Tamandua tetradactyla: one gene and its partners. The protein of the gene in region 1 interacts with the protein of each later gene in a pairwise test. Links are inferred from orthologs where the notes say so. Each region holds a gene or a part of one and is shown in the gene's direction. Other genes may lie near its edges. The genes, in order: TRIM63, USP13, TNNI2 and MYBPC3.

Evidence for each region.
Region 2: the proteins of TRIM63 (region 1) and USP13 interact in a two-hybrid assay, tested with the Homo sapiens proteins (2 studies listed by BioGRID and IntAct). The link is inferred for Tamandua tetradactyla from reciprocal best matches to the Homo sapiens genes TRIM63 and USP13.
Region 3: the proteins of TRIM63 (region 1) and TNNI2 interact in a two-hybrid assay, tested with the Homo sapiens proteins (2 studies listed by BioGRID and IntAct). The link is inferred for Tamandua tetradactyla from reciprocal best matches to the Homo sapiens genes TRIM63 and TNNI2.
Region 4: the proteins of TRIM63 (region 1) and MYBPC3 interact in a two-hybrid assay, tested with the Homo sapiens proteins (2 studies listed by BioGRID and IntAct). The link is inferred for Tamandua tetradactyla from reciprocal best matches to the Homo sapiens genes TRIM63 and MYBPC3.

The regions. Positions count from the first base shown.
Region 1 is NC_135328.1:200,139,009-200,146,018, forward strand, and holds the start of TRIM63 (E3 ubiquitin-protein ligase TRIM63), read left to right. Parts: upstream 1-4,003; 5' UTR 4,004-4,142; coding exon 4,143-4,301; intron 4,302-5,184; coding exon 5,185-5,357; intron 5,358-7,010. UniProt on the Homo sapiens protein: E3 ubiquitin ligase. Mediates the ubiquitination and subsequent proteasomal degradation of CKM, GMEB1 and HIBADH.
Region 2 is NC_135331.1:78,118,556-78,126,356, forward strand, and holds the start of USP13 (ubiquitin carboxyl-terminal hydrolase 13), read left to right. Parts: upstream 1-4,796; 5' UTR 4,797-4,845; coding exon 4,846-5,004; intron 5,005-7,801. UniProt on the Homo sapiens protein: Deubiquitinase that mediates deubiquitination of target proteins such as BECN1, MITF, SKP2 and USP10 and is involved in various processes such as autophagy, endoplasmic reticulum-associated degradation (ERAD), cell cycle progression or DNA damage response.
Region 3 is NC_135335.1:1,875,148-1,882,588, forward strand, and holds TNNI2 (troponin I, fast skeletal muscle), read left to right. Parts: upstream 1-4,742; 5' UTR 4,743-4,874; intron 4,875-4,954; 5' UTR 4,955-4,960; coding exon 4,961-5,083; intron 5,084-5,237; coding exon 5,238-5,327; intron 5,328-5,403; coding exon 5,404-5,580; intron 5,581-6,738; coding exon 6,739-6,834; 3' UTR 6,835-6,941; downstream 6,942-7,441. Other genes in the region: SYT8 (synaptotagmin-8), read left to right, coding at 77-170, 264-424, 852-950, 1,041-1,208, 1,284-1,451, 1,548-1,653, 1,747-1,880, 1,949-2,182. UniProt on the Homo sapiens protein: Troponin I is the inhibitory subunit of troponin, the thin filament regulatory complex which confers calcium-sensitivity to striated muscle actomyosin ATPase activity.
Region 4 is NC_135334.1:124,087,184-124,095,037, reverse strand, and holds the start of MYBPC3 (myosin-binding protein C, cardiac-type), read left to right. Parts: upstream 1-4,839; 5' UTR 4,840-4,951; coding exon 4,952-4,976; intron 4,977-5,895; coding exon 5,896-6,162; intron 6,163-6,968; coding exon 6,969-7,070; intron 7,071-7,144; coding exon 7,145-7,252; intron 7,253-7,356; coding exon 7,357-7,505; intron 7,506-7,854. Other genes in the region: SPI1 (transcription factor PU.1), read left to right, coding at 635-822, 1,543-1,705, 1,984-2,300. UniProt on the Homo sapiens protein: Thick filament-associated protein located in the crossbridge region of vertebrate striated muscle a bands. In vitro it binds MHC, F-actin and native thin filaments, and modifies the activity of actin-activated myosin ATPase.

The DNA.
Region 1 (7,010 bases):
AAATGGGGATAATAGGCATGCCCTACTCACGATGATTTTGAGGACTGGAAGAAATAATTCCAGGGAGCCCTCGATAGATGTCCAGTCACTTGCAAGTGCTAAATTAATAAAAAATAGTACTATCGTGATGATTTCCTTCCATGTCTCCCTTTTGCTTGCCAGGCCCAGACCATTCTCCCTCATACTTTGCCTGCCTCCCACCCAGTCTGGCCCCTGAGGGCACTACACCTTCCCCCACTAGCAGCACAGACTTTGGAGACAGTCCCAAATGAGATGCCTGTTATTTAGCTGGGGAACCTTCCAGAAGTTACTTAACCTCTCTGAATCTCAGTTCTGGATATGTAAAAATGAGAATCATAATGCCCCCAAATCACTCTGTGATTAATCAGTGGCGCAGAAGGAAGGAAGGGACCAATGAGACAAAAACAACAAATTGCCACGTGTAAGATCTTATCATTCTAATAAATGGTAATGATACTGACTCAGCTTTTGACTGGCTAGGAGCCCTTGACCAAGAGTCTCATCCCTTTGAGATTCTGTAACTCAGCTGAAAAACAGGGGAAATCATGGTCTCTGTCTCACTCAGTTATTTTGAGGATTGAGTGAGATGATGAATGCAAAGGGCTTAGCACAATGCCTGGCATGCAGTAAGCACTCAATAAATGTTTCAATGGGAGGAGCACAGGTTTAGGAGTCAGGCTACCTTGGATGTGAACCCTTTCTCAGCTCTGCCACTTGGGGCTGGGTGACCAGCCAAGCCAATGAACTCTCTGAACTTCATTTCCTCATGGGAAAATGGAGATCATAATACCTCCCCTACAGGACTGTTGTGAAGATTAAATGACAAGTCATGGCCTATGTGGGAATTTCCCTTCTCACCCCTTGACTTTCAGCACTGCTGGGCTTGCCAACCCCCAGGCTGGAGTTGAGCCCACTGTCCATTTGCTCAGCTTCTGTGTCTGGACTGCCAAGTGTGGGTGGGAAGTCAACAGAACCGTGCGAATGACTCCTCACAAATGACAAATCTGTGTTGGAAACATCAGCAAGGCTCTTCTGCTCCCAGACTTTCCTTCCACTGGTTTCTAGGGCACTTCCTCTTGTGTTTCCCACTGACCAGCCCAAACCTTTTCCGTCACCCTCTCATGCTGACATTCCTTCTGCGTCAGCATCAAGGAGTTGACCTCAACTCTCTTTTGACCAAGGTCATCATATAAAAGCACCTTTCTCTCCATTTCTCAACACCTCTGATTCTCTCCTCCACCGTTTCCTAGCTCCTTCCCAAGACTCTAGGATGTACTCCCTCAGCTCTCCTTCCCACTTTCCAGTGCTCTCTCTCTCCTCTGGCTCTACTATCTCCACCAAAAACCTTGTTCAAGTACTTAATTTCCCCCAAGCCTGACAGTGACCTTGCAATCCCTTTATTTAATTCATTCGTTCACTCATTCACTTGTTCATTCATTTAAGAATTATTTATTGAGAGCTGGGCCTTAAGGATACAAAGATGAACAAAGACAGTCTTTGCCTTCAAAATCTTCAAAGACGGGAGGGAGTGTCACACTTACAAACAGGTGATGGCAATATGACCAAGGAGACACAAAGATGGATCCCTGCCTGACCCATATTACTAGGTGTGCAATGGGGGGAAGGGGGAGCCCTAAGATCACTCCCAACTTCCTGGTTTGTGTAAATGGGTCGATGACAGCACAGCAAGACAGGAAAAACCGAAGGAGAAGCTAGGTGTGGGGGAAGATGATATGTTCTGTTTGGGATAGGGTGAATTTGAAGTGATCTTGAGACCCCATAGAGATCCTCAACATCTGCCGCTTTGAGGTGAGAGTAGTCCGGACTGGAATTAGAGATCTGAGAATCGCTGGCATTTTAGGAATTGGAAAGATAAATGCATATAGTATGCTTTTGGCTGCAGGCAACAGAATAATCACACTACAATGATGTGTTATTTCACATCGTTAACACCTTCAGAGTTGTATAAATGGGCAACACAACGGAAGGCACCTGTGACCCAGGTGCTTTCTTTAGCTCCTCTCTTCCATCCTCAGAGTGTTGATTTCTTTTTCCTTCAGGCTTGTCTCATCATGGTTGCAAGATAGCTGCTCCATCCTCTCACCACCCCATTCAAAGGCAAGAGGGAAGTTTTCTCCTTACACATTAATTTGTATCAAATCTTTTCCTTTATTCCCCCTCCCCCAGCAGACTTGACCTTGAGTCTCATTAGCATAGCTACCTGTATACCCTTAGGCAGAGGGGAATGGGATTACCATGTTAGGCATGAATCTTTCATGATTTGTCTCATATGGCAGTGGAGAGGCACGGTGCTGCCTGTGCGTGAACGGAACTTTCGTGAGCAAGGAAGAAGGGATGGTCTCTTCCCACCCTCATCATCCTTTGTCCCCCCGCTGGCCTGGCAGTGCTGAACCACAGTTCAGTGAAGACATGAGGCGCTTGAGCTCCTGTTCCCAATATATCCAGGTTCATGTCTTAAATCCACCTTCTGCTGGCCTTGTGACCTCATTCAAGTTACTGTACCTTTCTGTGCCCAAGTTTCTTCACCTGTGGAATAGGGTTTATAATGGTTCTTTGCGCTGTTGCCATTGAGATCTTAGAATGAAATAATACTCAGCAAAGTGCCTGACACATAGGAAGTGCTTGGCAATAACTAGCCATTAACGTTTTACGGGGACTACCCTTTCCTTAAAATTTTCTTGCTTTCTTTTAGGTCTCTTCTTCTTCCGACTGGGTTTTCTTCTTCTTCCTCTTTTCCTATCTTCTCTTTCTCTTTCCTGCCTCCTCCTCCTCCTCCTTGTCCCTCTCGTTTCTCCCTTTCTCAAGGTTGGTTCCTCTGCCCTCACCACTCTCTAGGTCTTATCTCCTGGTTCCAATCACCAAATCCTCTGGAGGCTGAGGTGAGTGAATCAACTCTGCTGAATCTCTCTCTTGAGACCCTGGACACACCCCCTGTAAGTTCCTCGACCTCTTAGGCTCTCATCTTGATACTCCACCCACACTCCCACCCCAGGATGGCTCCAGCATTGCTTTTCTCGAGGCGCTTCCCTAAAAAGAGACATTGGAACTGCTCAAATGACTTCTACCTGCCAACATGAAAGGTGTCCAGAAGGACAGGGAGAAAAATTAAAATTTGTGCAGAGAATAGAGGGGAGCATCTGAATCACTTCTAAATATCTAGGCAGGGACTTTGTGGCTAGCTCTCTTCCTAGGCTGTGAGCCTCACAGGTCAGGCAAAAGAATTACTCATCTGTCACCTTTACTAGTTAGCACCTGAGTAAGTGCTCAGACAAGTGTTTGCATGGATAAGGTTCTTCACTGCCACTTACTCTCTAAGTAACATTGAACAAGGCCCTTTCCATCCCTGGAGCCTAGTTTCACAATCTGAAAAATGAGAGGACTGAACTGCACCTTGAGGAAGCCCTTGTAGCATTAAAGCAGATTTGGCGGCCAAGGGATGGGGGGACTGGGAGAGTCATCAAAGTCTCCAGTAAAATGCGATGCTCAGGTCGAAGGCAGAGGGATGGGCTCAGAAAGAGGGCTTGCCCTGACCCTCATCTTGGGAGCTGCCCAAGACTCTAGAGGAGGGTCTGGACCTGATGTGTATCAGAAGGTCACTCTCCTGTCCTTGGGGGGGGGGGGCCATCGGCCATTAACCCCTCAAATCCCAGTGGCCCACTGGATGGGTCCCATCCCTAGTCACCATCCCGGAGTTGGGGGTGGGGCGACCAATTCCTGGATGAGACACTGGGTCCCCAGTCCTCCCGGAAGCCAGCCCCTGAACAGGCTGTTCTTGTTTACGACCCCCATCCCAGGGGACAAAGATTGCTCATCCCCACACGTGATATGAGAAGGCGAGCTTCTCAGGCCTGGAGGAAATTCAAGCCCCGCCAGCAGCCTGGCATGGGGATGCTCAGCTGGTCTTCTCCCGGGGCTCATGTGACTGGGGCCCAGCTATAAATATCAGAGGGGCTCGGACCAAGGCAGAACACGGGCGCCGGAGGAAGGAGGCAGAGGGGCTCCGGGTGGGTGTTTTGTGACAAAGGCCAGGGCTCCAGGTCTGCCTGGGGTGAGGTGCGGGTGAAGGAGGCAGCCAAGTGGGCTCCCACATCACCGACGACATGGATTATAAGTCAAACCTGATCCAGGATGGGAACCCGATGGAGAACTTGGAGAAGCAGCTGATCTGTCCCATCTGCCTGGAGATGTTTACCAAGCCGGTGGTCATCTTGCCGTGTCAGCACAACCTGTGCCGGAAATGTGCCAATGACATCTTCCAGGTCAGTGCCGGCCGCTCGGCTTCTTTGTGATAAAACACTTTCTCCCTTCGACCAGGACCGAGGCTGGTTCCTGCCTCTCGAAAATGAGTCTTCTGGCTCTTTCTTCCCCAAAATGAGGCCCCCCCGCCATGTCGGCCTGGGTGGGGCGGGGTGGGGAGGCAGCTCTTGCTGCCCGGGTCCTTCTCCGGGACGTCTGCTTCTCCTCCCCACCTCTGCCCTGAGCGTGGCAATTGACTCTCCACTCAAGAGTCAAATGCCTCAAGTGATAAGTCGGGGAGGCAGGCAGAGAAGAGAGAGAAAACAGACCCCTGGGGCTGGAGCCAGGCCTGCGGTGGCAGGGGGCCCAGAGCCTTGGGAGGAGGGGCGTGAGGGGGCACTGGGCACTAGAGCATCTTCTCTTTTGAGGCTGTTCCTTATAATATGAAGGTGGGGGAGGCCGGGGGGGGCGCTCTGTTTCCCTAAAGAAGGAATGGAAGTAGACGTCCTGCTTGGGGGGCAGGATTCTGGGTTCCCCAGGAGCACTTTGCAAAATGCCCTCTCACCGTTTTATCTTCAAAGTAGAAGCCATAGGGGCTTGTTCTACTGATTATGCCCATTTCATGAATGGTCCAACTGAGGCTTAGAGAGATAAGGTTGCTTGGCCAAAAATTACTCAGAGAATAGATGAGGCTTGAACCCAGTTCTGTGGATTCCCAAAGCCAATGCTTACCTATTGATTGCTCAGCTGCTTCTTAGATGATCCGTCTGTAAGATGGGCTGGTTCTCATCTCAGGGTGGGTTTGGCAGGGATGACTGGGGTGGGCGAAGGGGGAGGGGAACAGGAGATGAGTTAGGGAAGGGGCTGGGAAGGCGCCCAGGCCCACCTCCACCTTGCCATCTGCAGGCCGCAAATCCCTACTGGACTGGCCGGGGCAGCTCAGTGTCCATGTCCGGAGGCCGGTTCCGCTGTCCCTCCTGCCGCCACGAGGTGGTCATGGACCGCCACGGAGTCTACGGTCTGCAGAGGAATCTGCTCGTGGAGAACATCATCGACATCTACAAGCAGGAGTGTTCCAGGTCAGCTCTCCGGGCTACTGGGATCCCGCCCTCCTTTCCCAGCCATGCCGGGCACAGCTCGCCCAGGCTCCTTCCTCCTCCATCAGCTGGGACCTAAGCCAGTCCAAAGGGCCATTTCCCTCAGGCTGAAGGACAGAGGCCCATGCCCCAGCTCAGTGATGGGGAGGGGTCAGGCTGCCTTGCAGGAGAGACTGAGAGAGAAACCAGGGGAAAGATGAGAGGTGACAAGGAATGACAGGCATTGGGACCTGCAAAATAACCCAAATAAGCAGAGAAAAAGTGTCCGGTGAGAAGGCAGCCAGATTCTCCCTCCTGATAGCAGCAGCCACCCTTGGATGCCCTCACTGGGCACCAGGCATGCCACACCTTGGGGCCTCACCACAGTTTTATGCACCAGGCGCAGCGTTCATTATTCCCATTGCACAGATGAGGAAGCTGAGGCTCAGAGAGTTGAAGTCATCTCCCCAAGGTCATGCTTCCAATTCATGGCTAGGCATTGGAAGAGCTAGGAGTGGGCCTGGGCCATAGAGCGCTGAGTCTCCCTGTTTATAAAACAACAGCCCAGTCTCAGGCACAATTTGTCCGTGAACAGAGGAGGACGTGTGGTGTTAGGCTTCAAGCTGGAGCGATCTTTACAAATCAGGACATCCTGACGAGTTTCCAGGTTGCTGACCTGCTGCCATTATGGTCTAAAACCTTTACTGAGCACCTGCCTGAGGGCAGGACCTTCCCCGATGGAGGGGGACAAAGCAGGCCCAGTGAGGAAAGGCCCTGGCCTGGGCACTGTGTTTGTAGGCTGACTTGAAACTAACACACTGTAGGATCTCGGGTAAGTCACTGGCTTTTAGGGCTTTGTTTCTCTTTGTCTGCAGAAGGGGACAATAAGACCTACTATTGTGATTATCAAATAGGAAAACAATAGGAAAGGTAAAAAATATATATATATCAAATATTTATTATTTGATTTATAAATAAAATTATTTACTAAGCACCTACTCGGTGTGGGCACCATACTTTATGTACATGGCATTCTTACCTCTATTTTATGATGAGGAGATGGAGGCTCAGAGAGGTGCAGAGGTTTTTCAAGGTCACATAGCTAGTAAGGGTTTAAGTTGAGAGAAAGCCTGGATTGATTGACTCCTAGCCCTCTGCTAGATGGGCTCTCATGGTGATAGAGCATGACCCTAAAAATATAAGCAGACTGTTGATAAAACCACTATCATGCCAAAATACTACTTAGTGGCTAACTATGAAGGACACACTGTTCTTGACCCCTTCAAGACCTTCCTGCACAGTTATATGACAGTGAGAGCTGCCGTCCATTGAGGGTCTGCTCTGTGCCAGGCATGACCCATTCGTTATAAACAACTCCTGCCATGATCCCAATAGAGAGGTGAAATCACTGGTCTGAGACAGATAAGCGGCAGAACACTCTGGATTTGAACCCAGATGCTGAAGCCTGGGCATCTGGGATGGTGGTGGGCACAAGGCACCACATGCACAGGACCTGTGCCTCCTCTCAGCCATCCCAGTGCTCCCTTCCCCAGGGACAGAAACAGATGGCAAAGGGAGATCCTTCTCAGCATGGGAGACCTGGGCTCAAGATGCAGAAAGACAAGGTATGCAAAGGGGCTTATTGAAGAACTTGAG
Region 2 (7,801 bases), on another chromosome or scaffold:
TAATCTTTTTGCCATGCTATGAATATGTATATATGTGCATTTGTGCTTAAATGGAATAATAGTATATATATGCTCATTTACAGTCTGCTTTTGAAGTTTGTATTATAGTGATCATTTTTCCATGTCAATGCATATTCTTATACCACATGATTTTAAAAGGCTTTATAGAACTCTTTCAAACAGGAAATGCCATACATTTCTTAACCAATGCCTTATTGTTTTACATGCGGAGGCTATCTGCCCTTATACAGAATTTTATGGATCTGCCTCCACAATAAGCTATTACCATATATGACTTTACCAGATCACTGCACATTATTGGAAGAAATCTGAGCTCGAGTTTTCCCATTATTCAAATTCCCCTTCATGGCTTTAGTCATATTCATGTCATATTTTAATTTAACCTCCATCAGTTCTTGGAATAATATTTGTGCAGCAATGAATTTTACCTAAAAAACACAAAGTAGGTTGCAAAATATATCTATTACAAGATCACTGATGCGAGTCCTTCATTTGGTACTTATTTAGCGTTGAAAATAAACAGAGCACAGCCACTCCAGGCAGGCAATATTCCTAAACACTGAGCATCCCCCAATGTACAAGGTTTCATGAGTCACATCAAGAAATGTAACTTCTTCCAGAGTTTGCTTTCCAGATAGAGGGATCAGACATGGAACCAAGACTAATTAAATATAGTACAAAAGATGTCACGAGGCAGTATCCCAAAACTGGTGTAGGCAAGAGGGGCTGCAATTTTTAACAATAGGTCACTGAGGGTTGGAGCAGTCAGAAGAGGGTTAATGGAAAAAATACTGTTTTAGTTTGCTAAATGCTGCTGGAATGCAATATACCAGAAATAGAACAGCTTTTAAAAACGGAATTGATTAAGTTGCAAGCTTACAGTTCTAAGGCCATAGAAATGTCCAAATTAAGGCATCCAGAGAAAGATACCTTGAGTCAAGAAAGGCCACATGTCACAGGGGAAGGCACGTGGCTGGCATCTGCATTCTTTCCTGGCTTCTGGTTTCAAAATGATCACTCAGCCCCTATAGATCCTTCTGGCTTCTGGTTTGCTTAGCATATCATGGGAAGGCACATGGTGATGTCTGCTGGGCTCTGCATCTCCACACATCTGTGCCAAGGTGTCTGCTCTCTCTGTTGGCACTCCAAGCATCTCCAAATTGTCCTTGTCTCTCTTGACTCTGAGCTCTTTCCAAAATGGTTCCCTCTTAAAGGACTTCAATAAGCAACCCCACCTTGAATGGGTGGAGATGTATTGCCATGCAAACCACCTAATCTAAAAGTCCCACCCCCAACTGGGTGGGTCACATCTCTGTGAAACAGCCTAATCAATGTGTCCCACCCTAAATAATGTTGAGTCAGGATGAAAGAACATGGTTCTGGGGTATACCACAGTTTCAAGTACATAAATACTAAGCTTTGAAAGGCCTTTATCAGGAGACAAATATATCTATTCTTAGGGGACAGTAAATCAAGCTTACCAGAAGTGTAGGGATAGAGGGTAAGGTCTGAAGGACAGCTGAGTACTAGACTGGAAAGGTGCTCGAGTGCACGGGCTCCTGTCTGCACACTAGGGGAGGAGGCTTTGGCCAGTAAAGCATGTGGTGGCCTGGACATCTCAACCTGGCAAAAATGCAGTTCTTAGTCTTAGGCTCTCTGAAATCTCTTTAAACTTATGTTGGAAGTTAAAATTGTTCACTGATCCTTACTTCACTTTTGCTCATTGATCAAGATCCACATTAGAAACCGTTCCAGTAGTAAAATATCTGGTTATAAATCATATGTGCAACTTAAAAAATTAAGTAAAAATATTCAGTAGTTGGAATGGGATTTTTTTCTCTAAACATGTCATGATTAAGACTTAATCTCTTAATTCTGTGATATTTCTTTTACTAACTTTTTTGTCTTGATACATTTTTTTTGCATGGGCAGGCACCGAGAATCGAACCCAGGTCTCCGGCATGGCAGGCGAGAACTCTGCCTCTGAGCCATGGTTGCTCGCCCTTGATACATTTTTATATTATAAAACAAATGTAACATTATTGAAGACATTGGAATATAGAAAAAAAATCCTATAACCAAATTCTAAATCTAACTATTAAATATGTACATGTCTTTTCAGACTTCTCAACATGTGTGTTTACCTTTACCCAGTTGCTATGCTATTGTGCAAGTTTCTTTTTAAACTAACATACTACAAATATATGAAAATGGTAATTTTAATAAGGATATTTTCTAAGATTTGTAGAAACATCTTTGAGTAGACGGGGTCCATTTTTCCCTAGAATTTTCCAACTGTTGTGCAATTGGAGTTCTGCTGCACAGAGATGGGATTCAGCTGTGATGAGACTCCAGTCCCCTGCCTGGCCTGCAGTGACTGACACTCGCACACGAATAGCCTCCAGCTTCAAGAAGTATCCTCCCGAGAGCTGCACAAATATCACCATTTTCCATGCTTGCCATTATAAGCACTTTAATAATGATGCTACAATTGTCTTCAGCTTCTATTAATATTACTAGGTATTGAACTTGGATTATTTTTACAATTGAGTTTTAATCATTTTTCAAAGCGATACTTGTGCATGATAAAAATGTAAACAGTACAGGAAAGGAGAGTGGTAGTAAGTCCCCCTCTAACCTTGGCCTTCCTATTCCTTTCCACAGAGGCTGACTGCACTAGTTTCTTGTGTATCCTTCCTGGCCAAACAGCATGGTTCGTGCACACACACACACACACACACACACACACACACACACACATCGGGGGCCAATGTTTATAATTTTAATTTAATTTAATTAAATATTAAATTAAATTTAATTCACTTATTGTACAATTGAAAGAAAGGTCCCTGGTATAGAAGATGTACCAGAGGCTCTTCTGCATATCCCCAGCCTGGCACGTATCTTGCTTTTACACACTGATTTGCACTTCTCTTTTCTCACCTAATAATGTAACCAGAGATTCTGCATATCAGTGCATTCAGAGTGCCTTCATCCTGTTCAATGGTACTGTATTTTACCCATGTCTTACAGGTAGCTCTTTACATTGTTCCCATTCTTTCATTACTATGAACAAATACCAACAGATACCCCTACACAGTGTGAGTTTACCTGTGGAATAAATGTCCCGATGAGGAACTGCGGGGAAAATAGTATATGCACATACAGTATGATTGGTCTTGTTAAATTTCCTACCAAAGAGATTTACCATTTTCACTCCTTCCATCGATGTATTTGAGGATGGATACATTTCCCAACTTGGTGTATCTTTATCAGCCTGAAGGATGAAAAATGTGTCTCATTGGTTTAATTTACATTTAATCTCAAAGTATTTTAAACTTCAAGTTTTGAATGTTTTGAATCAAGTTTTCTTCTGTAATTGAATAAGCACTCTTCATCCATGAACTTGCAGCAGGTGCTGATACTATTAGAAGGTAATATGCTGGTGAGAATAAATTCAAAATAAAAGCTGGTTCAGAGTATCTGCGCAAAGATGGGATAATACTAGTGCAACAGGGAGCAAGGCAAGAGAAAGCTGGCCTGTCTATGTACTATTAAACTCCAGGTAACTCTTTCTTCCTAGGAAACCCACAGATCTGGAGAGTCAGGAAGAGTAAAAGAAAAATGATGTAAAGGAAAGAGGAATTTAAGGACTAGCTGATCTGGGACAGGCTTATAGAAATCAGTGTTTTGGTGTACTTTATTTCTTGCTATTTCTGAATTTTGTTCACTGGTAGAGTAATAGTATTCCGCTTTGTATGTAAGTTGAGTGTAGTTACAGAATAGAACCCATAGTTTAAAGTCTTTTTTTTTTTTTTTTTAAAGAAAATGAGAGCATGCTGTGTGGTATGTTCTGTTCACAAATATCTAACCTCCCAGTCCAAACCCATTCATTATTTATTTTGGGAAACGGAAAGAGCAAGGCAGTTCTATATGTACTGTTCTGCATAGGACTCCAGATCTGGCCATTAAAGTTCTAAACCCGGACCTTGAAACGCGCGTAAGACGTTCCAAAGGTAGAGAAAATTTTAGTTAAAAACTTCTCTCGCCCTGCAAAAAACCACTCCCCCCAAAATGCAAGAAAAACGTCTATTAATGCAAAATATGCCTCTATTCTCATCAGATCTTATTCTATTCTCTTTTATTGAGCTTCGGATTTTTTTTTAAGTGAAGAACAATGCTTGGCGAGGCAAAACCGAGGTGCACCAGGCAGATGTGGATTTGGGCTGCTACGTTAGACTCTGGATCGTCACAGCGAATTCCATCCCTACCCAGGCCCACCAAGACCCGGCTCCTATTTTCGGCCGTTTAGAAAATCAGCCTTTTCAAAGACCCCCAGATGCCGCTCCTTGTGGAGGCTGCCTCGGAGGTATTCCCGGTCACCCTGAGGTTTATGACAGAGAAGACCGCGATCGGCCCTGAGATGTTGGGGGGCGCAGCCCCCCGGTCTCCTTTCCGGGGCTCCCTCCAGCTTCCTCCTCCGTGCCAAGGCTCTGGGTACGCCCTCCACCCCCCACCAGACCCCTAGTCCCCATCCGTCCCTCTCTGTCCCCCACAGCCTAGCGGAGACCCTCTCAGGCCCCCGCGCACCCTCCCCGGTGCGCTGCGGCCGGCGCCCCCCCACCCCGCGCCCCGCCCGATGCCGCAGCGGGGCCGGCGCTCCGCCATTGGAGTAAAAATAGCAGCGTCCCCCCCACTCCCCGCCCCAGGCCCGGGTACCCGCTCCCGCCCATCGCCGCCCTCCCCGCCCGGCTCCGCTCCGGCCGCCCGCCCGGGCCCGGCCGCTCCACGGCGCGGGCAGACCCAGCTCGGCTCGGCGCAAGCATGCAGCGGCGGGGTGCCCTGCTCGGCATCCCGGGCGGCAGGAAGATGGCTGCGGGGGACCTGGGCGAGCTGCTGGTGCCCCATATGCCCACGATTCGCGTGCCCAGGTCCGGGGACCGGGTCTACAAGAACGAGTGTGCCTTCTCCTACGACTCCCCGGTACGTGGAAGGATCACGGGGCCCGGGGCAGTGGTGCTGGAGGCGGCGGCAGCAGGGCGCGGGGCGGCCGGGGACCTTCGCCTCCGCGCGCTGGCCGGGCTAGGGCCCCGCGGCTCGGCCAGTACCGAGCGGGCGCCTCCTCTGGCCCGGGCCGCGTCCCCGCCGCAGTTCGCCCGCCCAGTGAGGTTGGCTGCGTGAGAGATTCCCGCTGCTGGGGACGCGCCCTCAGGCGAGGATTGGGGGTGGTGGATGCAGAGACTGACCCCCACCCCGGACATAGCCTGCCCTGAGTCTGGGACGGGGCGCTTGGCCCAAGGTTCCCCACTCCGGGACGGGTCTGAGGTACCCCGGGAGCGGGGGCTGCCTCCACTACCCGCTTCCCCTCCACACCTCCTTTCCAGCAGAATTGCGGGGTCGAATGGGTCATTAAGGCCTTTCCCTCACCCCTTAAAAAGGAGGCCGCTGGAACTGATATGCACAAATATCAATGATTAAAAGTTCAATCCCAAGTCGTGACCTCAGAGACTGGAGGGAAGTGAGGCTCGATCACCGCCCGCTACCCAGGGCGCTTGGCGGTGGGTTTAGCTGCGTGTGTGCGCGCGCGCGTGCGTGCGCGTGTGAGTGTGATGAGACCTAGGGTGAATGCTCCTTTCACAAGTCAAAATGGGCTTCCAAGTGACTCAGCTGTCTGGCGTTTCTCATGTCTTTTTGAGGACCGGGTTATTTTTATCCACACACTTTAGATCTCATGTGTCGCCCAGCAGATCCCAGAGCGTTTGGAGGTGCATTGATTGCGACGACTGAGACTTCACGATAGTTCAACACATTTATTCATATTATGTATTTCCCCCTCATTGGAGGGGGAAAAAAAAAGTAAAAGCAAAAACAAATGAGTGACACATTTTCCAAAGCATTCTTTATTATCTTGTGAGTTGGTGCTGGTTGGTTTCCAAGCAATTTTCTTTGGTATATTGGAACCCCAGAATTAGTATCCTTTCTGTGATGTTTAGCTTTTCTTTTATGTGAATCCCAGATCATTTGGTGATAAAATCTCACCTTTTGTTAATTATTTTTTTCTTTCAAAGAGATCCATGTAGAATGAAGTGAAATGGTTGTATTTAATGCCTTGTGTATTTAATATATAGTGGTGGTACTAATAAGACAACTGTCAGCAGTGCCTTTAAATCGTGTTATCAACAAAGTATATGAAAGTGACACTTTGAGATTTTGTTTCCAGTGTTGGGTGTCTTCCCACCAGCAACTCCTAAGGGTGAAGAGGGATAATGGTCCCACCTAACTTAAACAATTGACCAATTGTGAACTTCAGGAAGAAGAAAGTGGACTGAGTGTTCAGGAGAGCACAGTGTGTAAAATTAGCAAAACTACTTTCTCTACATTTGGTTTGGTTGGCTTTTCAAGTTCTGCTTACAAACTTTCTTTTTGGGAATCTTTACCACATAGTGTGTGGCAGGTGTGAGAGAACGCTAATTTAAAAAATTCATTTCCACTAATAGTTATTGGTGCTTACCATGTGTCAAACACTATTTTGGAATCATCTTGTCTCATATAAAATATTTTCCCTCATATCACAATAGTTCCTTGGAGGTGACTGGATTTATTTACAAAGCCAGTGCATCAGTATATTTCATTATTTATGTTTTAAGGGAGGAAGAGAGGGAAGGTTTTATAACAAGTTTGCTTAAAGCACAGTGCGTGATAATGCAAGGTCTTTCCTTGTGGTACTTAACACTTTGTCAGGAATCTAGTAGGGTGTCTTGAGCCCCTGCTTTGTGCCAGTTTGTACCTGCGTTGTTATAAGAACCTCACAGAGCAAAATCCATTGGTGCAAAACATGCCAGAAACTTTATTCCACAAGTGCTATGGGACTGTGGAACTTTGGTTGAGAAAAGATCGAGACTAGTTGAGTGAAAAATCCCCCAACTTTCTTGCAGTGGATGTTTTTGAAGATCATAGATAGTGATGGCTAGAAATAAAGGAGCCCAACCTTCCAGGCAGGGAAAACTTACACGTGCAAATGCATAAAATGTGAATGTTTTCTTGTTATTTGCCTGTAATGTATTTGAAAGAAAAAAGATTGATTTGGCAAGAAACAAGAAGTGGAGAGTAGATGATGGGGTGTCTTGCATACCTGGAAAAGGATCTTAATTTTATGTATCAGTTATTGAAAGCTAGTGTGGGTAGTAGGTTTAAGGTGGTATGGAGGTAGACTGTGTATCACTGATTTTTTGCAATGTACCTACTGTGTCTAAGGCACCATGTTCACATTTTTGCCATTTTTCACCTTTGTGGGCTTTGAATATTGAGCCGACAGTGTGATAACTCTTTTCAGTATTCCCCTCCTTCCTCTGTTTCCACCTTCTAGGGATTAGCATGTTGGTGCTCAATAGCAGTTATTTTGAGATGAGTGAGTAATATTTTAGTTTCCTCGGCTGTTTGAGTAAATCCCGTGCAGTGGGCTGGCTTAAGCAATGAGAATTTAATGGCTGCTGATTTTGAGGGAAGGAAAAAAGTCCAAGTGAAGGTGTCATCAAGGTGATGCTTTCTTCTCCAAGACTGGCACTCTGGGGCCAGCTGCCAGTGGTCCTGGGCGCTGGGCTCCCTGTCACGTGGCAGTGCCCGTGGTGGCCTCTCGTGGCCTGTCCCTTCTCTTCCAGACTCCGCTGTCAGTATCTTGATTTTCATGGTTTTTCTCTCTCTTTCTGTCTGAATTTCATTCTGCTTATAAAGGACTCCAGTAATAGGAGTAAGATCCACCCAGATTGAGGTGGGGCACATT
Region 3 (7,441 bases), on another chromosome or scaffold:
GCAGGGCCCTGAGGGGGCAGCCACATAGGTGACCCCGGCTCTTGGGCTGACTCCTCCAGGCCAGGAGGGCAGGAAGATGGCACCCCCACCCGATTCCCCCGGCACCCTGCCCCCAGCTCACACCACAGCTTTGCCCGGGTCCGTTCCAGCCCTCGTCCCCTGGATCCCCTGTGAGTCCTGGGACCCCAGAGGGGCAGGGGATGGCCGGGCGTAGGGGGGTGACCGTCTGTGGGGGCAGCTCAGGCCCTCTCTGCACTCCCCAGGGCCCTCCTGGGTGCTCGCTGCCATTGCTGGGGCTGCCGGCGTCCTCATCGTCTCCTGCCTCCTCTGTGTCATCTGTCGCTGCTGCCGCCCCAGGACAAAGTCCAGAGACAAGGAGACTGTGAGCCTGGGCAGTGCCAGGGGTGCCACCACTGCCCACGCGGTGAGGAGCGCTGTGTGCCCGGCCGGTGCCAGCCAGCTGCCTGGTTGGCAGGGCTCAGGCTGGGGGCGGGTCAGCGGGCAGAAGTAGGTGCGCCAAGGGGAGGGGAGAACCGGGAAGGCGGCTGGGGCAGAGCCCGAGGGCCCTGGGCACTGGAACCGGGAGCTGGTCTGTGGGCCATGGGGAGCCATGGCAGGTTCTTGAGGGAGGTAGTGGTGCAACCGGAGCCCTGTTTGGGGCAGATCCATCCGTTCTGGCTGGTCTCCCGGAGCTGAGGTGCGGCAGTGAGCCCTGATGGTGCCCTGTGGTGGTGTGTGGGGGGGTGCCTCGAACCGCACGGGGGAGCTGCTACCTTGGAGTCTGGGACTGGACAGGGGCAGTGTCTCAGCAGACTCGGTTGCCCCTGCTCCTGCCCCGCTCCCCAACCCAGGTGCAGCCAGATGTGGATGGCCTAGAGCCCGGCCTGGGGGGCCTCCAGCAGTGGGGGCGCCTGCAGCTGTCCCTGGAGTACCAGCCTGCGAGCCAGGAGGTGAGGGCCCACTCTGCCACACTGCTGGCGGTTGGGGAGGGCGGGCTGGGGCAGGGGGCACCTCCGCTGAGACCCCCCCGTTTCTCCCAGGTCAGGGTGGGCCTGAAGCAGGCGACTGGCCTGCAGGCCCCAGGCTCCGGCCACACGGCTGACCCCTACGCTCGCGTCAGCCTGTGCCCCCCGGCTGGCCCCAGCCACGAGACGCGTGTGCACCGAGGCACGCTCAGCCCGGTGTTCGAAGAGACCTGCAGCTTCCAGGTGGGGCGCGGCCGGCGGGGGCAGCGGCCAGGCCCGGGCAGGGAACCCCGCTGACCCCCCGCACCGGCCCCGCAGGTCCCTCCGACCGCGCTGCCCCGGACCGTGCTGCTGGTGCAGCTCCTGGCCTCCCGGCGCTTCTCCGCGCACACGCCGCTGGCCGAGCTGCGCCTGCCCCTGGCCTCGGTGGACCTGCGGCACGTCCTGGAGCGCTGGCACGAGCTGGGCCCACCGGGCACCGTCGAGGTGAGGCCACGGGGGCCCGGGGGAGGCAGAGCAGGCAGGGGGCCCGGGCCGCGCGGTGGAGCCCCCCGCGCTGAGACCCCCTCGTGCCCCTGGCAGCCGGAGCCGAGCGGCGAGCTGTGCTTCTCGCTGAGGTACGTGCCCAGCGCGGGCCGGCTGACCGTGCTGGTGCTGGAGGCCCGCGGCCTGGGCCCGGGGCTGGCAGGTGAGGCCCGTGCAGCCCGTGGGGTGGGCAGAGGCCCCAGCACCCTGCGCCAGCTTCTGACCCAGTGCCCCCCGCCCCTCCGTGCCCGCCCAGCGCCCTATGTGAAGGTCCAGCTGCTGCTGAACCAGAGGCCCTGGAAGAAGCGGAGAACGTCCGCCAGGAGGGCCACGGCCGCCCCCTACTTCAATGAGGCCTTTGCCTTCCGCGTGCCCGTCGCCCAGCTCCAGGTGGGCCCCGGGGAGGCGGGCGGGCGGGGGCCACGGCCCGGGCCGAGCTGATGGCCGCCTCCTCACAGGGCGTGGACTTGGTGCTGGCCGTGTGCGCCCGTGGCCCGCAGCTCCGGACCGAGCCCGTGGGGAAAGTGCTGCTGGGTGCCCGTGCCTCCGGCCAGCCCCTGCAACACTGGGCCGACATGCTGGCCCACGCCCGGCGCCCCAGCACCCAGTGGCACCGCCTGCGGCCCCCCAGCGAGGTAGACCGGGTCCTCGGCCTGAGGCCCCGCGGGCGCCTCCCCTTGCCCCGCTCCTGAGAGCACCCAAGCCTCAGTTTCCCCTGCCAGGCCTGGCGGACCTGGTCGAATAAACGCCATCTCCGGCTGCCTCCACTGCCTGTCCTTCCTGAGCCCTGGGGGACAATACAGAATTGAGGAGGGGGCTCCCTGCAAGAACAGCCCCCTCCCAAGGGCAGGGAGGTTCTCCCTTCCAGGCTGAGTCTGCCCTGGGGCTTCTATCTCAGGCCTGACCCTGGGGTGGGGGCCGCAAAGTCCCCAGACCCTTCTCTGCCCCTTCCGGGCATGTCTGCAGGGTCTGGAGAGGCAGGCACGGCCCTGGGAGGGGGTGGGATGCCGCGAAGACGCGGGGACAAGGGGGCGGCGGCGGCGGTGGGGGGTGGTGGCGGAGGGAGGGCCCCCCCACCCAGGCGCCTGGGCCCCGCGCAGGCAGCAGGGGGCAGTAGAGGCCTTCGGAAGCGGCGCGGGGGCCCGGGGGCCGAGGCCTCCTAATCCCGCACATCTGGAAGCTTTAGGGTTTGCAGAGCCTCCTGCGCCCGCCGCCTCGGATCCTGCCTACGCCCCAGAAGCCCCGAGCCGGCAGGGCGGGCCGCGCCGCAGCGCGCAGACGGTGCCAAGTCACGCAGGCGGGGGGCGGTGGCGCGGGCCCCGGGGTCAGGGAGAGGTTCCCCGTGCTCCCAGGCTCGGAGGACGTGTCCCGAGCCGCCCAGGTGTGGGGCCGAGGCTGGGCGTACCGAGCACGGCTGGGGAGGGGGCTCAGCAGGCATGTCTGGGGGCCTGGCCCCTGCTCCCAGGGCGGGCAGGTGATATCAGCCCCCCGCCGGGGCCCCAGGCCCGAGGCCGCGTTTGGGGGTCCAGCCTGGGAGCTGGGCTTGGAGAAGGGGTCGCCGGCCAGCTGTGCTGCGGGGCTCGGTGGGCTGTGGTGGAACATAACCCATTGAGGGCCCAGGCTTTGGGGGGCGGGCCCCCCAGGACAACACGCCACCGGGAGTCCCCTGCCATGGGCCGGACAGAGGCCATGGGGCAAAGTGTGATCGGGACCCCGAGTGAGGGTGGACAGGGCTGACTTGGGGCGAGGCTGTGCGGCCCCACGTGTGTCCAGCCTCGGCGAGGTGGCCAGCAAAGCCACGTGCGCCGTGTCCCCAGGCTCCTTGGAGAACAGCGAAGGCTCCTCGGACTCGTCACTGGGCCCTAAATAGCTCTGCTCGCCTCGGCTCCCCCCACCAAGACTTCTTGGATGGGGTGGCAGCACGTGGCCAGCCCGCGGCCCGGGCAGCTGGGGGGCCGCGCGCCGGCTCTCTCTGTCCCCATTGGCCTGGGGCAGCTACATGCCCTTTCCGAGCGGGGGCCTGGCTGGGGGGAGGCCATTTATACCCTCCCCGGCCCCCCAGCCCACTCGCCACCGCCAGACCTTGCTCCCAGCTCTGCAGCACAGGCTCTCGGTGAGGCCCTGCCCGGCCGGTCAGGCCAGGCCGCGGGCGGCACTCAGGCGGGCCTGCAGGAGGACGCCCTGGGTGGGGGCCTGGGGGCCGCGGCCAGCAGCCCCTCAGGGGGCTCCCACAGAGTGGGACGCAGGGGGAAGAGACACCTGGGGATGCTGGCGGGGCGGGGCAGGGGTCCGGGCAGCCCCTGGTGGTCTGATCTCACTTCTGGGGACACTGGTTTTGAGGGTCGAGGGACCCCAAGAGCTGGGCCCCCAAGCTGAATCGGGGAGCAAGTTTCTTGTACTTCGGCCGGTAGCCAAGGAAGCGGGGTTAAAAATATCTGTTGCTCGGCGGCCACCTGTGCTGGCCCCCCCCCCGGGTGCCCCCGCCACACCCCCCTCGGAGACAGCTGCAGCTCCTCCAGGCCCTGCCCTGGGCATCTCGGGAGCACTTTCTCCTCTTACCCCCCACCCCGGGGAATTCCAAGACATCCCCCTCTGCAGAGGGAGCGAGGAGGGGGAGCACGGGGTGGGAAGGGGGGCAGCGGCACCCCCTCACTGCTGGCCTGGCGGCTGTACCCTTGTGGCCTGACACCCCTGCCTTTCTCTCCACACAGGATCTGAGCTCACGATCTCAGGATGGGGGAGTAAGTGGGGTGCCCAGCGCGATGCCCGGGGGTGGGGTCTCTGCATCTCCCCAGCAGCTACCCCTGCCCACCCCACCCTCTCCCAGCCCACCCTCTCCTGCTCCCCACCGGCCTGGCCTGACCCGATCTTTCCCTTCTCTCCTCTCCTTCTCTTACCCCGACCTCGCCGGACAGTGAGGAGGTGAGTACCTGGTTGGAGAAGGGGAGTGAGAGGTGGGGGGGCGCTGGGACCCCAACTCCGTGGAGGTCAGAGGTCAGAGCTTCAAGTCTTTGATGCACAGAGACGAAGCCAGCCTCCCCCCACCGGCCCTGACGGGACAGAGGAAGTGGCAGCCTGGGCCTTCCTGGGCAGGGAAAGTGGGGGCTGTGGCCCGGCTTCTCAGAAGGAATCGCACCCCCCCAGGCCCTGCAAGGGTCACCCCTCCCCTGTGCCTCACCTGCCTTTCCCACCCCCACCCCCCAAGTTCTTAGGACCTGGCTGTCCGTCCTAGACGGGGTCAGCAGGCCAGGCCTGTGCCCTGGAGGTCCTGGCTGGTCCTCCAGCTCAGCCGGCCCCCCATGGAGCCCCTGACCCTGCTTCCCGCCCCCTGACCCCCCACAGAAACGCAACAGGGCCATCACGGCCAGGAGGCAGCACCTGAAGGTAAGAGTGGGCTTGGGGAGGGGGCCGGGGCCTGCGGGAGGGACTGCAGCCCTCACGGCGCCCCCCACCCCACCCCGCAGAGCGTCATGCTGCAGATCGCCGCCACGGAGCTGGAGAAGGAGGAGGGCCGCCGGGAGACCGAGAAGCAGAACTACCTGGCCGAGCACTGCCCCTCCCTGCACATCCCCGGCTCCATGTCCGAAGTGCAGGTACCCCGCCCCGCGCCCAGCCCCGCGCCGCCACCACCTTCCGGCCCACTGCCTCGGTTTCCCCACCTGCCAAGGGGCAGCGCCAAGCAGGTGGCCAGAGGCTGGGGCCGGTCAGGGCCAGGGTCAGGGCCCACCCCCTGGTCTCCCACCCCAGGAGCTCTGCAAACAGCTGCACGCCAAGATCGACGCCGCCGAGGAGGAGAAGTACGACATGGAGATGAGGGTCCAAAAGAGCACCAAGGAGGTGAGGCGCGGGCAGGGGCAGGGGCGGGGGCGGGGGGTCACGGGGCGCTGGACTCAGCTCCCCCCGCCCCCCGCAGCTGGAGGACATGAACCAGAAGCTGTTTGACCTGCGCGGCAAGTTCAAGAGGCCCCCACTGCGGCGCGTGCGCATGTCGGCCGACGCCATGCTCAAGGCCCTGCTGGGTTCAAAGCACAAGGTGTGCATGGACCTGCGGGCTAACCTGAAGCAGGTCAAGAAGGAGGACACCGAGAAGGTGCGTCCGCCGGCGCCGCCGGGGCCCAGGCCTCTCACCTGGGGCTGACCCCTCTCACCTGGGGCTGACCCCCTCCCACCTGGAGCTGACCCCCTCTCACCTGGGGCTGACCCCTCCCACCTGGGGCTGACCCCTCTCACCTGGGGCTGACCCCTCTCACCTGGGGCTGACCTCCTCTCACCTGGGGCTGACCCCTCCCACTTGGGGCTGACCCCCTCTCACCTGGGACTGATCCCCTCTCACCTGGGGCTGACCTCCTCTCACCTGGGGCTGACCCCCTCTCACCTGGGGCTGACCTCCTCTCACCTGGGGCTGACCCCTTCCCACCTGGGGCTGACCCCCTCTCACCTGGGGCTGACTCCTCTCACCTGGGGCTGATCCTTCCACCTGGGGCTGACCCCCTCTCACCTGGAGCTGACCCCCTCTCACCTGGGACTGACCCCCTCTCACCTGGGACTGACCCCCTCTCACCTGGGGCTGACCTCCTCTCACCTGGGGCTGACCCCTTCCCACCTGGGGCTGACCCCCTCTCACCTGGAGCTGACCCCCTCTCACCTGGGACTGACCCCCTCTCACCTGGGACTGACCCCCTCTCACCTGGGGCTGACCTCCTCTCACCTGGGGCTGACCCCTTCCCACCTGGGGCTGACCCCCTCTCACCTGGGGCTGACTCCTCTCACCTGGGGCTGATCCTTCCACCTGGGGCTGACCCCCTCTCACCTGGAGCTGACCCCCTCTCACCTGGGGCTGACCCCTCTCACCTGGGACTGACCCCTCTCACCTGGGGCTGACCCCTCTCACCTGGGGCTGACCCCCTCTCACCTGGGACTGACGTCCTCTCACCTGGGGCTGATCCCCCCCCACCTGGGACTGACCCCTCTCACCTGGGGCTGACCTCCTCTCACCTGGGGCTGACCCCTCTCACCTGGGGCTGATCCTTCCACCTGGGACTGACCCCTCTCACCTGGGACTGACCCCTCTCACCTGGGACTGACCTCCTCTCACCTGGGGCTGATCCCCCCCACCTGGGACTGATCCCCCCCACCTGGGGCTGACCCCGTCTCACCTGGACCTCACTCCTCCCTCTCACCCTGCCTGGCCCCTGCTGGCTGAGCCCCCCGTGGGGTGGGGTCCTGAGTCGCCCCCCGTCGCCCCCAGGAGCGGGACCTGCGTGACGTGGGCGACTGGAGGAAGAACATCGAGGAGAAGTCGGGCATGGAGGGCAGGAAGAAGATGTTCGAGACAGAGTCCTAGGCCCCCTGTCTCCACCCCGCTCCCCGGGCACACGGCGGGCAGGGGCCTGCGGCGCCCACGGAGTGGCAGGGGTATCACCCCAAAAGTCAATAAAGGATGCGAACCCATGGCTGGTCCCTCGCTGCCCACAGTCCCCGCCTGCCCTCAGGGCACCCTTGCCGGCCCTGACTCCTCAGCCTGGCGCCCTGGGTGTCAGGCCTGGGCAGGCGTCAGACGCTGATCTGAGCACGGGGCAGTGCCACGCCAGGGAGGCCCCCCCATGTGGGCTGGGACTGGACAAGCCGCCGGGTCCAGGGGCGCCCAGGAAGACCCTGCAGGTGGAGCCTGCCCCTGGCTGCACCGAGCTGCAGGGGGACCCCTTCAGGCCGTGTCCACCGTGTCCTCGGCAAGGTAGCCATGGGAGGGGCTGGTGGCGTGTACCCGGCGGGCTTCCCCAGGTGAGCCCTTTGTCCATTTGCCCTGTCCATTGCCACAGGGCACAGCCCCAGGAGGCCCCAGCTGGGCGGGAGATGGCCACACGCTCCCACGATACAGGGTCCCCAGCCCCCTGCCCCCAGGCTGCTCCCCCGGGATGCAGTCAGAGGCCGGCAGCCACGTCAATGCCCCC
Region 4 (7,854 bases), on another chromosome or scaffold:
GAAACCCACGTTCAGGCCCTGCCCTCATCACGAGAGGACATGGCATGTGGCTCCAGCCCTAAGCCACTCCGCCACAGGCCGGAAGCACCGCTGCAGGGGAATTTCCAGGAAGGACTCACATCCCAGGGACCTCGCTGGCGCCCGGGCACCGCCATGGCCCACCCCAGCCACGGGAGGAGGCCACACGCCCCTGCGCCTGTGGACGGCAAGCAGCTCGGGATGGTGGGCAGCACCAGGCGAGGGCAGGCAGTGGCCGGGTCCCTGCTGGAAGTTTCCACAGGCGCGAGTTCATGCACATCCTCCAGTAACCGCTAGCCCCATGTCCTAGGAGGGTCAGCCACCCCAGCAGGCCAGCGGGGGGCCCGAGTCTGCGCCCCTGCAGCCATGTGGGCAATAGGCCTCGGACCTGGGCCCCTTGGGCACGTTCTGCGGCCTCCCCAGGCCTCAGGTCATCTATGAAGCGGGGCGCCCACTTCCCAAGATGGGGTGTACGCTGAGTGAGGTCGGCAGGCAGGCGCGTCGCCCGGCCTGGCCCCGTGAGGGCCCCGCGTGGCACTGTGTCTCATTATCGCTGCCTCCACCCCCACCCCCACCCCCGCCCCGGCCTCACTGCGCCCCCTGCTGCCCCCCGCAGACCATTACTGGGACTTCCACCCCCACCATGTGCACAGCGAGTTCGAGAGCTTCCCCGAGAACCACTTCACGGAGCTGCAGAGCGTGCAGCCCCCCCAGCTGCAGCAGCTCTACCGCCACATGGAGCTGGAGCAGATGCACGTGCTGGACGCGCCCATGGCCCCGCCCCATGCCACTCTCAGCCACCAGGTGCGCAGCTCTGCCCCGCCCAGGCCAAGGGCACACAGGAGCCGGCGCGCTCGTGCCCCACACTGCTTCTTGCCCCCCCCCCCCCCCCAGCGGCCTTGGGACCCTCCGGCCGGCCTGGCGATCCCACACCCCTCATCAGCTCTCGGCCCACGGGTGGCCAGGCTCCAGGCAGTCCCCATGGCTCTGCCCCTCCCAGCCAGCAGCCTCCATCGATGGGCGCCCCCAAGGGTGTGGTGTCCAGGGTGCTGAGTGCTGGGCTCTCCTCACCCTTTACTTTCCACACTGACCCCTTTGATGACCCTACTTGGCCCCATGGACTCTGTCCCCATCAGTAACCTCTACTGACCCCTACAAGCCTTCGCTGACCTCACTGCGTCCTTCACTCACTCTTCCCGCCACTTACTAAAGTCTGTCCAGTCCTAACCCAACCCACTGGCCCCTGAGCCCTCCTGCTCCCAGCCCCTGGAACCCGCTCATCCACTCAGCAGGAAGCTCAGCTTGGTGAGTGCCGAGGACCTGCACGCCCTTGTGCAGTGCACAGTCTGCACCCCTGTGCATGGGGGGCCTGGTCGCCTCTGCTGACCTGAGCGACGTCCAGCTTTCCCTGCCTCCCCTTAGTCTTTCTGCCCTCTGCTGACCACCCAGCCTCAGTGCTGCCCACAGCCCTGATCTCTGAACTGCCCCTTACCGACCTCAGCCCACTTGCCCTCACTTGCCCAGGTCTCCTACCTGCCCCGGATGTGCCTCCCATACCCCTCCCTTTCGCCGGCCCAGCCCAGCTCCGATGAGGAGGAGGGTGAGCGGCAGAGCCCCCCACTGGAGGTATCCGACGGGGAGGCTGATGGCCTGGAGCCAGGGCCTGGCCTCCTGCACGGGGAGACAGGTAGGTCCAGCAGGCCGAGGGGCACGGTGCCTGGGGGGTGGAGGGGAGGCGGCATGTGATATGTGCCAAGGGGTCCCCACAAGTTCCCAGCGTGTCCTCATGGGCCGTGTGTGCGCGCGCGAGTGTGTGTGTGTGAGCATGCATGCGCGTCTGTGCTGTGTGTGTGGGCTGAACCCGCGGGGGGGGGCGCGCCCCGTCCTACCCCAGGGGGCCGGCAGGGGGGAGGGGCGGAGGGTCCCGGGCCCGGCCCCCCAGCCCGCCCGCGCTGCTCCCCGCAGGCAGCAAGAAGAAGATTCGCCTGTACCAGTTCCTGCTGGACCTGCTGCGCAGCGGCGACATGAAGGACAGCATCTGGTGGGTGGACAAGGACAAGGGCACCTTCCAGTTCTCGTCCAAGCACAAGGAGGAGCTGGCCAACCGCTGGGGCGTGCAGAAGGGCAACCGCAAGAAGATGACGTACCAGAAGATGGCGCGCGCGCTGCGCAACTACGGCAAGACCGGGGAGGTGAAGAAGGTCAAGAAGAAGCTCACCTACCAGTTCAGCGGCGAGGTGCTGGGCCGCGGCCTGGCCGAGCGCCGCCATCCCCCGCACTGAGCGCGGCCGCCCGCCGCCCCGGCCACAGCATTAACCCCTCGCCCGCCGGACACGGGGAGGGGCGCGGGCCCCGGCAGCCCCCCGGCCCCGCCCCGCCCGCCCCGCCCGCCGGGACCAGCCCCGGGCGCGGGATCGGGCGGCCCCGCCTCGGCCCCGTGGACACCGAATGGTCCCTTCGAAGCCCCCCCGGGCTGCCCACCTGCCCCCGCAGGGCTCGCGAGTGACCGCCGGGACTCTCAGCCAGCCCCGCGCAGCGTTGTTATAAAGCCCGCCGCCGCCTCGCCCGCCTCAGCGTCCTGTGCGCCGCCGGGCCCGGGGTGGGGGGGGGGGGGGGGGAGGTGGGGGACCAGGCCTCGGGGGAGGGGGCCCACTGGGGCCCGGGGGTCCAGGCCTGGGGGATAGGGGGCTCACTGGGGCCCGGGGGGTCCAGGCCTGGGGGGAGGGGGCCCCCTGGGGCCCGGGGGTCCAGGCCTGGTGGATAGGGGGCTCACTGGGGCCCGGGGGGTCCAGGCCTGGGGGGAGGGGGCCCACTGGGGCCCTGGGGGACCAGGCCTGGGGGGAGGGGGCCCCCTGGGGCCCGGGGGTCCAGGCCTGGGGGGAGGGGGCCCCCTGGGGCCCGGGGGTCCAGGCCTGGGGGATAGGGGGCTCACTGGGGCCCGGGGGGTCCAGGCCTGGGGGGAGGGGGCCCACTGGGGCCCTGGGGGACCAGGCCTGGGGGGAGGGGGCCCCCTGGGGCCCGGGGGTCCAGGCCTGGGGGGAGGGGGCCCCCTGGGGCCCGGGGGGACCAGGCCTGGGGGATAGGGGGCCCACTGGGGCCCGGGGGTCCAGGCCTGGGGGATAGGGGGCCCCCTGGGGCCCGGCGTGGGGCGGAACCCAGGCCCGGGCGTGCCTACTGGGAAGCAGGAGCCCTCGCTCCCTACTGTATGAGTCGTGGTTAGCAGCCCTCGGGGGCTGGAGCCCGTCACCCGGGTGACGATGGCCGCAGCGTCGCTGCACTTTCCATGGTGTGAGGCGGATGCTGATGAGGCCGCACCGCGCAGTGGGAGAAACGGAGGCAGGCAGAGATCAGATGCTTCGGCCAAGATCACGCTGCCAGCGGGCGGCCATGCTGGAACCCCGGGCCCCGGACAGGAGGCGCCGGGTTGGCGGCCGTGGGGCGGCTCCGGCTCCGGCTCCCGCTCAGCTCGCAGCCGCGGGGACGCCCAGGAAGGCGGCGGCGGGGCCTCCCCGGCCGCGTGGACAACATGGCGCTCGGCGGCCCGTCCCTTCCGCCCCCGGGGCTCCTCCCGCCGCTGGGGGTCGCAAAGCCCCCCGACCTGGCCGGCGCATGTCTCCGGCCGCCTGGGCTTTCCCGACTTTTCCCCCCCCACACAGCCTCGGGGGGGCCCATCCCAGCTGCAGCGCCCAACAGGCCCCCCAGGGCGCGGGTGGCAGCTCCCCGCGCCCCACCCAGCGCCCCCACCAGGGGGTCACAGGCCACAACGGGCAGGCCCGGCAGCGACAGGGCCCCCCGGCCCCGGGCCCCTAGAGGGCCGCTCTGCTCAGCCCCCAAGTCAGGGCAGGCCCCCAACGCGGGGGGCCGAAGGTGGCTGCCCACGGGCAGGAGCAGCCCGGCCACCTGCAGCACCCCCACACCTCACGTACCCGCCCCCACGCGGGGGCTGCTCTCTGGTCCCCGGTCTCGCTTGGATGAGTCACGTGGGACACGCCTCTCTCCGCGTGGAGTAGGGTTGGGGGCCCCGTTGGAGGGTGGACCACAGATTGGGGACACCCAGGGGCTCAGCTCAACTCAGAGAGTCGCCCCGGCCTCACCCGCCTGCAGTGTTGCCCCCTCTCCAGCCCAGTGCCTTGCGGGCACCTTCATCTCCAATCTCCCAACCGGAGGAGCTGCCCACACCGGCTGGCAATCCAGCCCCGCTTTACAGGTGAAGCAGACGGGCATCAGGCTGGGGACTGCAGAGCCAGGCTCGGGGGCTGCCCACCTCAGGGCACGTGCCAGCCATGGGCAACCCAACCCACTGCCCCACAAAGCCCAGTGCGGCCCCGCCCGGTCCCACCCGGTCCCCCACTGGCCCCCACTGCCCCATCCAGCCCCCAACTGCCCCCCCACTACCCCACCCGGCCCCACATTGCCCCATCTGGTCTGGTACTGCCCCATCCAGACCCCCTCCCCCCACCCCTGCCACTGCCCCACCCAGACCCCACTGTCCCGCCCGGTCCCCCCACTGTCCCACCTGGCCCCCCACTGTCCCACCCGGCCCCTCACTGCCTGGCAAGTCACACAGCCACCTGCCGGCCTCAGGGTTAAGGTCCAGCCCACTTTCCACCTTCAATTTGCCTGTCAGATAGTCACACAGACTGGGCTTGGGTACCCCTGAGGGCACTGAGGATTGGGGTACAGAAGCTGTCCTATTTGTGTTGGGGGAGGGGAAGAGGAAAGGAACAATGGCCCAGACCCTCCCACTGCCCTCTCCACCCCGAGAGAGACCTGGGCTCCCTGGAATTTGTCTATATTTAGCGGGAGGCTGCTCGGAGGCTGATAAGGAGACCGGGGGAGGGAGTGTGACGGGGCCGTTATATAGCGGGGGCTGCCCGCCATCCCTCTGCGAACAGCCTGGGACTGTTCGGTGCCTGCTGTGGTCGCTCCCAAGATGCCGGAACCAGGGAAGAAGCCAGGTAGCTCCAGGCCGGGGTTGGGCTCGAGTGGGGTGCAGGGAGGGTGGGGTGTCTGCATTTGGGGGGCAGGGCTAGGAGCTGGCTCCCGAGGAGGTGGGGAATGCAACACTCGACAGGCCTCGGGCCCCTTCCTGAGGCTCAGGTCCCTTCCTGCTTCAGGGGACGGTGAGGCTGGACCCAGGGCTGGAGCACAGAGAGGGGAGTTGAGTCCCAGGGTGCCCTCCCCCATCTGGGACCTTTTTCAGGAGGGAGGCCTGGCCTGGTGGGAAAGGCTGCTGCGGGCGGGAGGGTTCCCCCCTTCTCTGGGTCTCAGTTTTCCCATCTGGACAAGGAGGGGATGGGCGGAGGCCCGCAAGCCTCCTTCCAGCTAAGCAGTTCCCTCTGCAGCCCTGTGACCTCCACACTGGGCATGGCCCCCACTCTGGGCTGATGGTCATGGGGCCCCAGGAGCCCCCGGCTGAGGGTAGAACAGGGCCCCCAACCTCCCAGGTCCTGGTCCCGGCCTGTGCCCCCACCAAGGGCACTGGGGCAGGCACCCTGTGTCCCACCCCTCCCCACCCCAGGCCAACTTTTTATCTCAGTTGCTGACTCTCAGCCCCAGGCCCTTGGAGGATAAATTTAGCCATACTCCAAGCAGCCTGAGCACCTGCCCCTGCCTGGGGACCCAGACTGGCCTGTGGGGGGTCCAGACCACACCCCCAGCTCTCCCGCCTACTGGCTGTGTAACCTTGGGCAAGCCCCTTAACCCCTCTGAGCCTCATGTCCTCATCTGGGAAAGGGACCTAAGCGCTGCCCCCCTCCTGGAGCTGAAGGAGCATTAAATGGGGGGACGCGTGCCCAGGGCCTCTCCCCAGGCTTGGTGGGGGCCGGTGGGGGGGGGGGGGGGTCCGGGCGTCCCTCAGCCCCGTCTGGGCCTCAGCCTCGGCCTTCAGCAAGAAGCCCCAGTCAGCGGAGGTGGCTGCGGGCGGCACTGCCGTGTTCGAGGCCGAGACAGAGCGGGCGGGCCTGAAAGTGCGCTGGCAGCGGGCAGGCAGTGACATCAGCACGGGCGACAAGTACAGCCTGGCCACCGAGGGCACGAAGCACACGCTGGCAGTGCGGGACGTGGGTCCCGCCGACCAGGGCCCTTACACGGTCATCGCCGGCTCCTCCAAGGTCAAGTTTGACCTCAAGGTCACAGAGGCGGGTAAGGGCAGACCCGTCCCTGAGGTCGACCTCCCGGCACAAGGGCAGTGCCACCTCCCCCCTGCAGGGTGCGGGCCCCTGTTCTCTGTGGCCCAGCCGCTCTGAGCACCCCAGGGCTCCTGGCTTGGGCATGCCCCCGGGGGAGGACCCACTGCAGGGAGGACCAGGCACAAGGGCACAAGCCGCCTCTGGGGGCCCCATGGGAACCGGCCTCAGGCCAGCAGGGAAGCCCCTGGTAGCCTGTGGTGGAGCTTCCAGCTAGGGAGCTGGATGAGGCTGCAGCCTCATGAGGGAAGGAAGGGACAGACGGACCCCGGAGCTGCTCAGGGCAGACCTGCAGTGGGTGAGGGTAGACAACGGCAAGGGAAGCCAGGGGCCGGCAGCTCCCCGCCCCCCCCCCCCAGATGACGCAGCAGGGACAGGAGCCCAGCATGGGACATCATCTGCAGGAGAGGCCTGGCCTGGTGCTCGGGAGGAGGGGAGGATAGGAGAGGGGGAGGAGGAGGGGAGGAGGGGAGGAGGAAAAGGGGGAGGAGGAGGGGAGGAGGGGAGGAGGAAAAGGGGGAGGAGGAGGGGAGGAGGGGAGGAGGAAAAGGGGGAGGAGGAGGGGAGGAGGAGGAGAGGACGGGAGGAGAGAGGAGGGGAGGGAGCTAGCAAGGGGTGAGAAGTGTCATGGAGGGGAAGGAGGAAAGGGGAGGGACAGATGAAGCCCTGTCTACTCTGGAGGAGCCTGCAGAGACTGGGGCAGGGCCGAAGGGTGTGGGGTGGTCTCTGGCTAGGAGCTGCTCCCCACTTGCTCCCCTCCAGAGACGGCAGAGATCGCCCCAGCTGCTACTGAGGCCCCGGGAGCCCCGGGGGGGGCATTGGCCCCGGCTGCTGAGCCGGAAGGAAGCTCTGCAAGGCCTGAAGGTGAGGGGGCTGCAGGGAGGGCAGGACCGGCTGCAGGATGTCCCAGGGCAGGTCCCAGAGGCCTCTGCTCACAGGGTCAAGTTCGGCTGCCCCCGAGAGCCCTGCCCCTGGATGCCCCAGCACCCCCGATGACCCCATTGGCCTGTTTGTGATGCGGCCTCAGGATGGTGAGGTGACCGCGGGTGAGTGCTGGGCAGCTGCACCCAAGGGTGTGGCGGGGAGGGAGGCAGCCAGACGCCCCCATGCCCGCCGGGCCCCCCACGGCAGCTGGGCCCCCTCCCCGCAGGCGGCAGCATCACCTTCTCAGCCCGCGTGGCTGGGGCCAGCCTCCTGAAACCACCTGTGGTCAAGTGGTTCAAGGGCAAGTGGGTGGACCTGAGCAGCAAGGTGGGCCAGCACCTGCAGCTACGCGACAGCTATGACCGCGCCAGCAAGGTGGGCCTGGCACAGGGGTGGCCTGGGGAGGGGCACGGGCTGCAGGACAGGGGGGTGGCTGGGGGCAGGGGTGCAGGGGATGGCGGGGGGACAGGACGGTGTGGAGAGCCCAGAACACAGCCCTGGGGGGTGGGGGGCAGGGCTCAAGGGGCCCTCAGGGATCCAGCAGAACGTCCGTCACCACAGGCACGAGGTAAGCGAGAGGCGGGAGCCCACGGGGGTGCGGCCTGGAGCCCGGGCCCCTGACCGCCCGCCCTGCTGGCCCCCGAGTGGGACCCCCTTTCTCCTGTGCGCAGCGTGCAGAGGTTGGGTGGGGGGTGGGGAGAAACCTCCTGGCCGCCGGCGCCCC